2 linked regions of the Drosophila melanogaster genome follow. Each later gene encodes a partner of the first gene's protein in a complex. Each region holds a gene or a part of one and is shown in the gene's direction. Other genes may lie near its edges.

Region 1 (6,891 bases):
GTCAGTTGGAGATGGAAAATTTTCCAGAGTTCACGCACGTACGCATGCAAATGGCAACATCGACAACAACAACAAGATGAGTGTGTGGGGAAGGCAACTTGCATACGTGCGATGCGGCATGGGCAACAACAAAACAGAGAGCGAAACGCTACAAAGAGAGCTTGAGACACCTGCATGGCCAAGTCATTGTTGTTGCCATGCTGATTAGCGGTATGTGGTGGGAGGGGAGTCCCTGGAAAGGTAAATAAACAATATGGCGGCGTAGGCTTACCTTGGTCCAGCAAATCAAGCGATTGGTATCGGCATCGTCCACCAGGCGCCACAATTTGGCCAAAAAGGCCGGCACCCCGCTTCCGATGGCCGCGGCGTCTCCGTAAGAGTGCATTCTCCTGGAAGGCAGCTGCTCCTCCTCGTCTTCTTCCTCTTCCTCCGATTCGTGCTTGAACTGCACGGCTTTAGCGGATGAACGCGACCTGGACATAAAGTGACCAGCAGCCTGGAAAGGAGTACTACTCAATGAATTCACTGCACACCAACACCAACACAAACGCTTTTTTTCCAGTTTACAGTTCACTTTTCCACGCCGCTGTATGTGTGTGTGTTTAAGTGTGTGTATGGGTGCGGGAATCAGTGTGCGTGTCCAGGTACACCATACATATGTAAAATGTACATATGGGTACAATTTTGATGTGAAAGTTGCAGCTCTGATCGAATCGAATGTTTTCGGTTGCAGCCAAGTGCGTCATTCGAGCCACCAACTTGCACAAATGGAGCTCCAGTTCTTCTTCTCCTGCTCAACCTACTTACCTTAACAATTTTGCAGCTCACAAACCTTTCGCGAAGTGAAAAACTCGCGTTTTACTTGTTTAGTTTAGTTATTACACTTCACTTTCTTGGCGTACCGCTTTTGTTTTACACAGTTCTTCGGTTTTTAAGTGCTTTTTCGCGTTTTATTCACAAGTGAAAATTTAATGAAACCTCCGTCAAGTAAAATTGCTTCTGTTCGCAGCGTGACCAATTTGGTAAAAACCTATCGAACTAAAGTTCGCTGCTATATATACCATTGCTAGCTGTCTGCTTGGTCCTCTGGTTTTTATCTAGTATTTTCTGGCGCGCAACTTCGTATTCATATAATTGACCCCAATTACTAGATGATCATTATACTAAAAACTTATCAAATTCTGTTATTTGTTTTTAAAGCTAGTATTGATATGTGTACCCATAACATTAATTGATAGGCAACTGTCGATTTTAATACGGCAGACCAAAGGATAGGGATTTTAGTATTTGGTATTTTCTATTTGATATCTTTAAGATAATTATGAGTTAAAATTAAAATTAGTTGGTTTGATTTTAGATAAGTTGTACATAAAAGCATACAAAGGGCATACTTACTAAAAAAATTAACATTCATTTTGAAATTTCTATAGGATTTACTTTGACAATCAAAAAGTTTTACCTTAATATAAATGTTAGTTTTATTTTTTTTAATTTGATTTAATAATTGTCACTCTACATTTAAAATGTAAATTATGTATGATATTAACGTTTTTGAATCTTTAGGAAATATTTAAATGTATTTTCTAGTATTTTCCAGGACGAGACCGCTGAGTCTTTGCCGGCACAGTGGGGATAATTAAGTAAATTTATGGTATATTTTATACGTTTCGATATATTTAAAAATATAAAAATGTAAAATTGTGGTGACAAATTTCCAATATTTCTTTATTTATTTTAATCAAGTTAATTTTATTACCATAACATACATAAGTTGTGGTAGATTTATATATGAAAATGTAACGAAAAGAACAATTGTTGGATGCGGTCACACTGGTGGGCATATGTTGAAAAATGGCTGACACAAATTAATTTTCAAGTGATTTGTTTTGTGCATTTTCGCTGGTGTTAAAGATGAACTTGGGACAACGACGTTCAAAGCCGATAGCCGAATCAATAAGAGCAAAATGCTAATTTAATGCACGATTCGAAACACACTTAAAGGTGGGTAAATCGGCAACCGAAACTAGAAGTGCCTGTGGTGCGTGTGGAAAAGTACGAATGAGGAAGACACAGAGAATACAAAAGGGCCCGCTCTCCAGTCCGTATGTGTAGCAAAAGTGTGCATGTATGTGTCGGCGGGCAACAACAAATTCGACGAAAAAGGCGCCAGATTAATGAGCTCGTGTTAATCAGCGGGAAACAATCGCAAAATCAATGAAAAAACGGGCCGCGAAAAGCCGGCAAATCGAACTGAAGATCCATATTTTTCACAAAAGACTGCGCACTGGAAAAATCAACGCATCTAGCACGCACACACAGCCGCAATGATGAACAACCATTTTCACTTGCAACACGATCATCCACCGCAGAACGTGGCACATCCGTTCATGCAACAGCCGAGTACCGCTGTCCCATCAGCTCCTCCGGCCACCTACGGCTACTTAGCACAGCCAGCTGGCCAGCAGCCGCAGTGGATGACGACCACCTACCAGATCCTGCCGCCCAGCGTAGGACCTGCCACGGTGGCCAAGCGATACTATGCCACCACTGGGCCGCAGACCACGCATCCCACACATCCCAGCACCATCCAGATCACGAACAGTTTCGCTCAGCAATCAACGCCACCGAAGCAACAGGCGGCAACAAGCTGCAGCCCATTCAAGGCCAACAACATACGAATCATCTCGACGGCGCCAAGTGTATACAGTCTGAATAAGCCGCCACAGGAAGCGCACTCCACATATGCTCCCGTTCAGTCGTACTACTTGCCCAGTGGCGGTGGCCAAACTGCGGGACAAATCAATCTACTGGCGGCCAGCGGAACTGGCAAGCAACTGCAGCCGCCGCCGCTGGTGCCTGTGACCAATTCCACCTCACCGCCCTCCACCGTCGTGTTAGACCGCATAAACATTTGCATCAATAACCACTATACGGAGACGCCCACTTCGCTAAGTTCATCGCTTACCACGGCCCAACAACCTTCGCCCATCATACCGGCCATCCAGCACAAGGCCATCCTGCCCCTCATCGACAGCAGCACGGCGGATAGCAGCAGCTGCAGCAGCAGTTCTGTATCCAGCAGCAGTTATAGTGGTACCGCGACCACCTCAGCAGCAGTTGTGATTGTGGATGAGCCGGATTCTACGACCACAACGCCACAGACACCGCCAACTACGCCGGAGGCCATGAGTTCACCCGGTAAAAGTTCGCCCTCGCCTCCGCTACTAGCCACGCAATCGCTGCTCAAAGGCGTCAACTCAATGAAGCCAAGCTTCAAGACCGTCGAAGCAGCACCGCCAACGCCGCCAACACCTCCATCACCACCACCACCGCCGCCGGCACCACCAGTTGCCGCTCCCTCGCCAGCGGTCACGTATGCGCTTCAGGAGGACGTCTTCATCAAATGCAACGATGGCAGATTTTACCTGGGCACCATTATTGACCAGACAAGCGATCAATATCTTATCCGCTTTGATGACCAGTCGGAGCAATGGTGTGAACCGGATAAGCTGCGCAAGCTAGGTGGCGGTAGCTCGATTACCGCTGGCGGAGGCGGTGCCTCTACCACGGAATCCACGAATACCTCCCCCAGTGGACCCATGTGCGTGGCCTGCAAGCGATCGGATATCGAAGATGTGGTCGAAATTTGCGAGCGCTGCGGACGTGGCTACCATCGTGGTTGCACCGTTGAAATTGTTACTGGCAGTGGAATTTGGAGTTGCAAACGCTGCGCTAAACCCATGAAAATGCAACAGCCTGTCAGCCATAAGATCACAAAACCAGCGGGAATTTGTCGCCAGTTGCCCTACCATGTGAGTATTCTACGAACCCAAGCCAGCGGATTAGATTCTTAATCCGGTTTTACCCACAGGCGGATAAGCTCAGCTGGGATGAGAAGCATCGGGTCAACGAAGAGCAGATCTACTGCTACTGCGGCAAACCGGGAAAATTCGATCACAATATGCTGCAGTGCTGCAAATGTCGGAACTGGTTCCACACCCAATGCATGCAGAACTTCAAGAAGAAGCTGCTGCGCGGCGATATGTACGTATTCAATTGCTTTACTGTGATCTAAACTGAAATGAATCTCATTGTCTAGGTTCTTTGTTTTCTGCTGCACGGTCTGCAACAATGGCATAGAATTCGTTCGTCGTATGCAAATCGAATGGGTGGATGTGCTCCACATTGCACTATACAATCTGCGAAAGCATCAGCACCAGAAGTACCATCACCTGCTAAATGACATTTGGCCCTTCATACTCGAGCAGCGCCACCAGCTGCCTATCTGCGAGAAGTGGCGCACACTGCCCGAAACGGCACTGATGGAGCGTCTCAAGCAAACCCTTAAGGATTACTCTGACAGATTTGTTTGCGGCAGGGAGTTTAAAAGGGCTCCGGCCTTCTATGCACTGAGACACAGTGGCCCGCCACACATTCCCAAGGTATTCCTTGAGCCCCACGAGGAGCTGTCCGATGAGCTGCTCGAAAAAAGATTTAAACTAATGCTCATGCCCGAGGAGCCTGATGAAGGTGCCAACGAGCTTCCGAAAAGAGTTCCCAAAGATGTGTATGAGTTTAATACAGATGAAGATGACCCAGTCGAGACCAGCGAGGACGAAATACCCATCAAACAGATTATTGAGAAGGCCAAAAAGCAGGCCGCTCAGAAGGCCGATAAGCATGATGAGTTGCCACTGAAGCCGGACCTCGCCGACGACAATGCCAACGATGGCGATCCCGGCAAACTACCAGCTCCCATTCCACCTCTGCTGGACGCAAACAGCAGTCGGAAGCGCAAGGCTTTCCGATTGTCCAAACGCTATGACAACAGCCGCAATCACTGTGATCTATCATCCGACGAGAATTCAAGCAGCAGTCGGGGAACCAGTTCGTTGGACCTCATCATACCACCGCCGGTCAACTTTTTGGGACGCAACAATCCATTCCTTATGGCCACTCCCAAAAAGGCGTCGCAGGGACGAAGTATTTCTGTGGGAACTGGAGTCGGAGTAAATGGCATCATAAACAGCATTTTCAAGCTTAAGGGCACCTCCAAGGAGCAGCCGCGCATGGTGCGCACCATCAAGCGAAGACTGAGTGCCAAAGACATTACGATAGGGCCCAATCAGGAAGTGCGCAGACGACGCACTCGCCGCCTGACCACGGCCATTGAGGTAAGAGTTTAACTAACAACAATGTAACTATAATGTTTGAGATGTTTTTTTCGTTTCCACTTAATAGGTCATCAGCACCACCACCATCAATCCCATACCCAGCCACTACCTTCCTATCTATGCCAAAGATCTGCAGCCACCCGCGCCGCCAATGGGAAAGCCGACACATGGGCGCCTGTTGCGCCAGCGACCACAGAAGCAGTCACCCAGCCAAAGCCGCCGGAACTCCACCAGCTCGACGGCAACCAGCAGCAGCAGCAACGGCATTGGAGCCCCAGGACATTCCATGCTGGACTTGAAGCAGTCGGTGAACAAGTACTTTGGTGGCGCTATGAATCGCATAGATGCTGGTGAGCCCTTTGCCATTCGGGCCAAGCGGCGCATGGGAAATGGACAGGTCCAGTACCTGGTGGAGTGGGGCGGAGATACAGCGACAACGGCGATTGGATTGCTTGGAAATTGAACCCTTTGGCATACCGACTCATTATGAATTTTATATTCTTCATTTCCATTATCATTTCTTTTCGTTATTATGTATTAATGAACGCTGCCAACTACGGGCCTCTTTATTTGTTAATGTTTAAAAGTTTATTACCAACCCACTGCCAAAATAGAAAAAGATTGTTCAAAATATTGGTTCAGCATTAAAGCGATAAAATGTTAAATTGTAAAAAAAAAAAACGAAAAAAAAGCAAAAAGCAACTGAATACAGGTTATAATTGTGCAATGGCAGTTAAGTGTTGCAGCAGAACATAAATAAGTTTTCACAAAATTGGTAAAAGTATTACAAGATTAATCTGGAAGCCTATGTAAAATTCGCTGATGAATGAAAACGTATTAAATAATGAGAACAATTCAGTTAAGTTCAGTACTGTACTTTAGCGATACGCCACGCCCATGTATGTTTTTGAAAAATATACCTTCAAATGGGAAAACTCACAAATCATGTCATGCATACAAAAAAAAAACAATTGATATACATACATACACACAAATTTAATAAAATGTAGGACTAGTTCAATAATTTTCACCCATAGTCTAGGCAAAACTACACAATAATGAATTAAGCCAGTACGTTTTATGTTTAACTATTAAATGCTACGAAAAATCAAAATTGAGTTGAAAGCAAACTAATTCTCAAGCCAAGTAAATGTTTGGCCAAACCAGATCGAAATATGTTTAATGAAGTATATAATGCCCAAATAAATGTTTCCGAAATGTCAAATCTTTTAAGATTTTACTCAGGACACGCCAGTAGGCGCCCAAAGTGACACTTCGCTTTGAAGCTTGTCAGGCACCGACGCCTCACACCGCTTCATTAGGTACTCGATCGCCAGATAGGGCACATGCACCAGACGTTCAAAACGGGAAAAAGAAAAAAAAAATTATCCTCAGCCATCCTTGAATGTGGTCTATTTCGTAAAAACAAAAACACAAAAAAAAAACTTAAAAAATTCTTCAATCTCTGTAGTGCCGATTTCCATCGAGAACGAAAAGAAGTACTCAAGCACTTCTCGGAGTGTCGACTTGCAGCCTCATCGCTTTATTCTCTGATTTAGGTAAGTTCGCACAGTGGGGAATTACAAAGATGGGATTCGGTTTTCGGAGCATACGCTAATATCTGTGCAGTGCCAAAAAATCATTTTCTAAAAGTCTACGCTCATTTTTAAAAGAAAAAAAAACTGCATTCCTAATTTTGGATTGTGTTTTATGAGAC
Region 2 (5,267 bases), on another chromosome or scaffold:
GGTAGACCGTCGATAAAGTGAACCAAACACAATTTAGTGGTTGCAAATAAATTTTTAGAACCAAATTATCATAAAGCTTGAAATGTTTTTTTTTTTTCAAATTTACTCCAATTGGGTATTTTTTTAAGCGCAAAGAAGCCTGAAGAAATGGTTAGTATGTGTCGAAATATAACAAACAACAAGTCTTAAGATTCCTTAAGTTAAGCTTTATTCCATTTCTTCATTATTTTTTCATCTTTCGACTTTTCACTGTACACATTATCAGCCACAGAAGCATAAATAGAAATGCAGCGGGAGAGCAAATCTAGCACTCTTTTTTTTAGTTTTTGTGTTTACTTATTTGCGTTCATTGGCTTCTCTTCCTAACGGCACTTCGGGCCAAGGAGGTGCGAATGAAAAGGAGCTATAATCCGGTTTTATATCGCACTTACCTTTTTTAATTAGAATAAATCAAAACTTTGCTGCGGATTCCGATTCTCTTTATTTGCTATCAAAAGCAAAGCGGACTTTACAGTTACGCCTGTTAAAGTTGTTGTTTTTACTGCACGGTCTGCGGGCCAAATAAAAACAACAAATACTATATTTTTGCTGTTTACTTTACGCCGAACTTCGACGCTAATTGGAAAAAGAGATGCGGGAAGGAGAGAGAGCAATGAAAACTATAATTAAACGCCAGCAAAAAAAGGTCTTAAATATCCTGCGGGCACAGCAACAACAACAGAGAAAAATACAGGAGGAAAACCAAGAGAAAGAAGGGGAGAAGTTAACATAAAGTAACAGAAAGTTGCGAAGGAGAGGCGTTGGTCTCCGAGGGGGAAAGGCATAGGAAAAGACTCTTAAGGGAAAAAGAGAAAAGTCGGAAAGAGAAAAGCTGCGCAGGATATTTTAGCCGCCTATGAAAAATGTTAATTTTGTTTTAAATGTTCACTGCGGGTTTCATATGTTTTTTCTTGCATTATTGGCCACTTCGCTTTGTCACTTTACTTCGGTTTTAATTTTTCCACTTCTTCATTCGCCCAGTGAGTGTGTGCGTGCGAGGGAGATGGAGCGAGAGAGCGTGTTTGTGTTTCCACTGCAACTCCATTCTTCTTTCTCTTTTTTCACACACACACACAGGGCACACACGCACACTTGCACATGGGGGAGTTGGAAACTTACGCGTCGCCGTTTTATTAATTTTATTCAATTAACAATCGCCTCTAATTCAGCAACTCCAAAACACTACAAAATCTCGTTGTACTTGAGCACTATTGTTTGTCGATAAGAAGCCGCCGAAAAACGCCGACCGAGGAGGAAAATCACCCGCGCTGGAAAATCGCGTCCGAGTCGTTCAACGGTGAATTTTAGAGTGAGAAGGAAAATCGTGGGAAACTGCGGTGGATTTTAGAGCGAGATGGGTGATGCTCTGAAAGAGAGAGAGGGAATGCACCCTCTGGCGATGGGCCAAGTTCGATATTAGCATGGATTCCTATCGATTAATCGACTTAACATTATTTACCCCGGACTACAACCTATTACTTCTGTGTTTTTGTTTTTCTTAAATTATAATGAATCATTTATATTTGTATAGAAAATATTGAAATCAATTAGTTTATTCGAATGCTTAAACTTAAATGTTTTCCAACAACATCTCTAGTTCCAGCTTCAGACTCTGCAACGTGATCTTAGCCAATAAACTTTGCTTTATAAACTTATAATTGATCCTTGCTATTTTTCCAAAAAATATGTCGTGATATTTGATAATTTTTGATAAGTACATAGGTCTGATTGTTTATATATCTAATAAAAAATGACCACTCTGTATGAAGAGGGTAATCGTATTTCATATGTAAATTTATTAAATATATTTCTTTAATAAATAATTAAATATATTTGTTTGGTATTTTCGGTATTCATGCAGTTAGTATTAAAAGTATATTCTGCAGAGCCGGGAAGTGTGGATTTAAAAAAGTCCGCGGTCACACTGCCCATCTGCAGAGGTTTCCTCTTCGCGAATTTGTCTTGTGCGCTCCGATTTTGGCTATATAGTTGCGCCAAAGTGCCAAAAATCGGACCGGCACCAAAGTAAACCATCTTCTGAGCTCGCAAGTTCATCCGATCGACGAAGGATAGAAAAACATCGACTTTAAGGGGATTTAAGACCCGCCAACAGCACCGCAAAATGCAGTCTCACAGCAAAAAGCGCGTTTGTTACTACTACGACAGTAAGTTTTGAGCATTTAAATGGAAGTAAAAGGCCTACTAGATGGGTAATTTGTGTTTACAAAGTGCCAGCTAGGGTTACCATGTCGACTTTGTGTTTTTTCCGCATCCACTTAGCATCAGATGATAGCATTTTTGCAAATTTCAAGTTTTACGGCGACTGTACGAGCGCGTTCCGGTCCACAGCGCACTTTTTCCATACGACCGCAGTGCGTTTGTATGCGTTTGTGTGTGTATGTACCTGATGTCTATCTTCCTCTTCTGTGTGTTTTTGTTGCTTTTTCGTTCGGGGCGAAAGTGCTACTACTGCGGTCGTTCGGAAAAAGTGCTGCTCTCAGGCAGACGCCTCGCCGACAGTGGCCTTAAAATTTGTATTCCACATAGCGTGGCAAATAATTACTTTTTCAACGTGCTCATAATTGCGATTTTTGATCCATAGGCGACATTGGCAACTACTACTATGGCCAGGGTCATCCCATGAAGCCCCATCGCATACGCATGACCCACAACCTGCTGCTCAACTATGGGCTCTATCGAAAAATGGAAATATACGTGAGTTACTTTATTAATATGTGATGATAGATATATATATATATATGATAGATTTAAACGCGAATTTCTCTATTCTAGCGTCCCCATAAAGCCACTGCCGATGAGATGACCAAGTTCCACTCGGACGAGTACGTCCGGTTCTTGCGATCCATTCGGCCGGACAACATGTCGGAGTACAACAAGCAGATGCAGCGTTTCAATGTCGGCGAAGATTGTCCCGTCTTCGATGGACTATACGAGTTTTGCCAACTCTCCGCCGGAGGATCCGTAGCTGCGGCCGTAAAACTGAATAAGCAAGCCTCGGAGATCTGCATCAATTGGGGCGGTGGGCTGCATCACGCCAAAAAATCGGAAGCCTCGGGCTTCTGCTACGTCAACGACATTGTTCTGGGAATTCTGGAACTGCTTAAATACCATCAGCGTGTTCTCTACATAGATATAGACGTCCATCACGGCGATGGCGTGGAGGAGGCGTTCTATACCACCGATCGTGTGATGACTGTCAGCTTCCACAAGTACGGAGAGTATTTCCCGGGCACTGGCGATCTGCGAGACATTGGCGCCGGCAAGGGAAAGTACTATGCGGTGAATATACCCCTGCGTGATGGCATGGATGATGATGCGTACGAGAGCATATTTGTGCCCATTATCAGCAAGGTGATGGAAACATTCCAGCCGGCAGCCGTGGTGTTGCAGTGTGGCGCCGATTCGCTGACTGGCGATCGGTTAGGCTGCTTCAATCTCACCGTCAAGGGTCACGGCAAGTGCGTGGAGTTCGTGAAGAAATATAACCTGCCATTCCTGATGGTCGGCGGTGGTGGTTATACCATTCGTAATGTATCCCGCTGCTGGACCTATGAGACCTCCGTTGCACTGGCCGTGGAGATAGCCAACGAACTGCCCTACAACGATTACTTCGAGTACTTTGGGCCCGATTTTAAGCTGCACATTAGTCCCAGCAATATGACGAATCAGAATACATCCGAGTACCTGGAGAAGATCAAGAACCGTCTGTTCGAGAACCTGCGCATGCTGCCTCACGCTCCGGGCGTTCAAATCCAAGCGATTCCCGAGGATGCCATCAACGATGAGTCCGACGACGAGGACAAGGTCGACAAGGATGATCGCCTGCCGCAGAGCGACAAGGACAAGCGCATTGTGCCCGAGAACGAGTACTCCGATTCGGAGGATGAGGGCGAAGGCGGTCGCAGGGATAACCGTTCGTACAAGGGTCAGCGGAAGCGGCCGCGTCTCGACAAGGACACCAACAGCAACAAGGCATCCTCAGAGACGTCCAGCGAGATCAAGGACGAAAAGGAAAAGGGTGAGTGATTAACCATTAGTCATTTTAATTGGTTCTACTGACCACTTGTAATTTGTATTTAAACCCTACTAACTAAACCATTATGCTGTTTTCAGGCGACGGAGCTGATGGCGAGGAATCGACGGCGTCTAATACCAATAGCAACAACAACAGTAACAACAAGAGCGATAATGATGCCGGAGCGACAGCTAATGCCGGATCCGGTTCGGGATCAGGTTCCGGTGCCGGGGCCAAGGGCGCCAAGGAGAACAACATTTGACGTGGCGGCCGCAATTGGTTATAGAAGCCAATTAAGCGACCGCCGAAGTACAAGCCACCGGATTTCACCTAGTGTCGTCTCATTCCCGCGCCCCCCTTCACCAACACGCCCCGTAGCCATGTCCAGGGCTTTTTCTACACGCCCCTACACAAGGTCCCACTGCGATCGGCTCCTTTTTTTCAGTGGGAATATTCCCAAAGGGGGATAAATCAGTAATCAGTGGGCGGAAACACAATTTATTTTAAGATCGAAAGTGTATAGCTAAGCAAAAAGTGAATGCATACTTACAAGCGATCCAATGTGGCGAATAACGCAGAAACTAATTTAATCAAATAAAAATATTTATACATTTATTGATTTTAATTTTAATGGAAAATTAATTGAGCTGCTATCTTTTAAATATTTTCTTTTGGAAGTATTCGATTTCCCATTTTTAGCAAAATACTTACGTTTCCACATTTAGGTTTCTTAGTAACAAACTAAACGATAATTTGTAACAATTTATTTGTATTTTAACTAGGACTAGCTAACAATTTTTAAGATTTTAACTTTGAGTTTCTAAGTTGAGGAGATTGTGGCATTTGGGGGGGAGAAAAGGATCCACTGGGGGTTTTCCCGCCCACCAGTTGACAGTTTGTGACTAGTCGGCGAGGTTTTCCACGGATTGCAGTGGGCGGAGAACTGGAAACTGGCTGCGGTGCTAATCCAGCGATAATATCGAGTCGATGCTGGTGCGATTACTGCGCGGCTGCAGACGCGGTCCACCCAAGTAACTAATTGGATTCGCGAACTGGCGCTGCAGCAGTGAGTTTTCCAGGAAAAGCGTCGGCGGCGGGGGTGGGCGCGTCACTTTCGAGTGATGCTGTCGCATCGGCACCAATGGGGATTTTCCTCCCGGCTCCTCCGGATTTTTCACCCGACTCGCTGGCA

Evidence for each region.
Region 2: Pcl (region 1) and HDAC1 share a complex: the UniProt entries of both Drosophila melanogaster proteins name them as parts of the form of the Esc/E(z) complex.

What each region holds. Positions count from the first base shown.
Region 1 is NT_033778.4:18,133,600-18,140,490, forward strand, and holds Pcl (polycomblike), read left to right. Parts: upstream 1-1,826; 5' UTR 1,827-2,324; coding exon 2,325-3,812; intron 3,813-3,871; coding exon 3,872-4,044; intron 4,045-4,099; coding exon 4,100-5,174; intron 5,175-5,241; coding exon 5,242-5,637; 3' UTR 5,638-6,391; downstream 6,392-6,891. Other genes in the region: Hsf (heat shock factor), read right to left, coding at 272-481. UniProt on the Drosophila melanogaster protein: Polycomb group (PcG) protein.
Region 2 is NT_037436.4:4,624,779-4,630,045, forward strand, and holds HDAC1 (histone deacetylase 1), read left to right. Parts: upstream 1-1,955; 5' UTR 1,956-2,161; coding exon 2,162-2,204; intron 2,205-2,641; coding exon 2,642-2,754; intron 2,755-2,832; coding exon 2,833-4,078; intron 4,079-4,173; coding exon 4,174-4,337; 3' UTR 4,338-4,689; downstream 4,690-5,267. Other genes in the region: axo (axotactin), read right to left, coding at 5,038-5,267. UniProt on the Drosophila melanogaster protein: Catalyzes the deacetylation of lysine residues on the N-terminal part of the core histones (H2A, H2B, H3 and H4).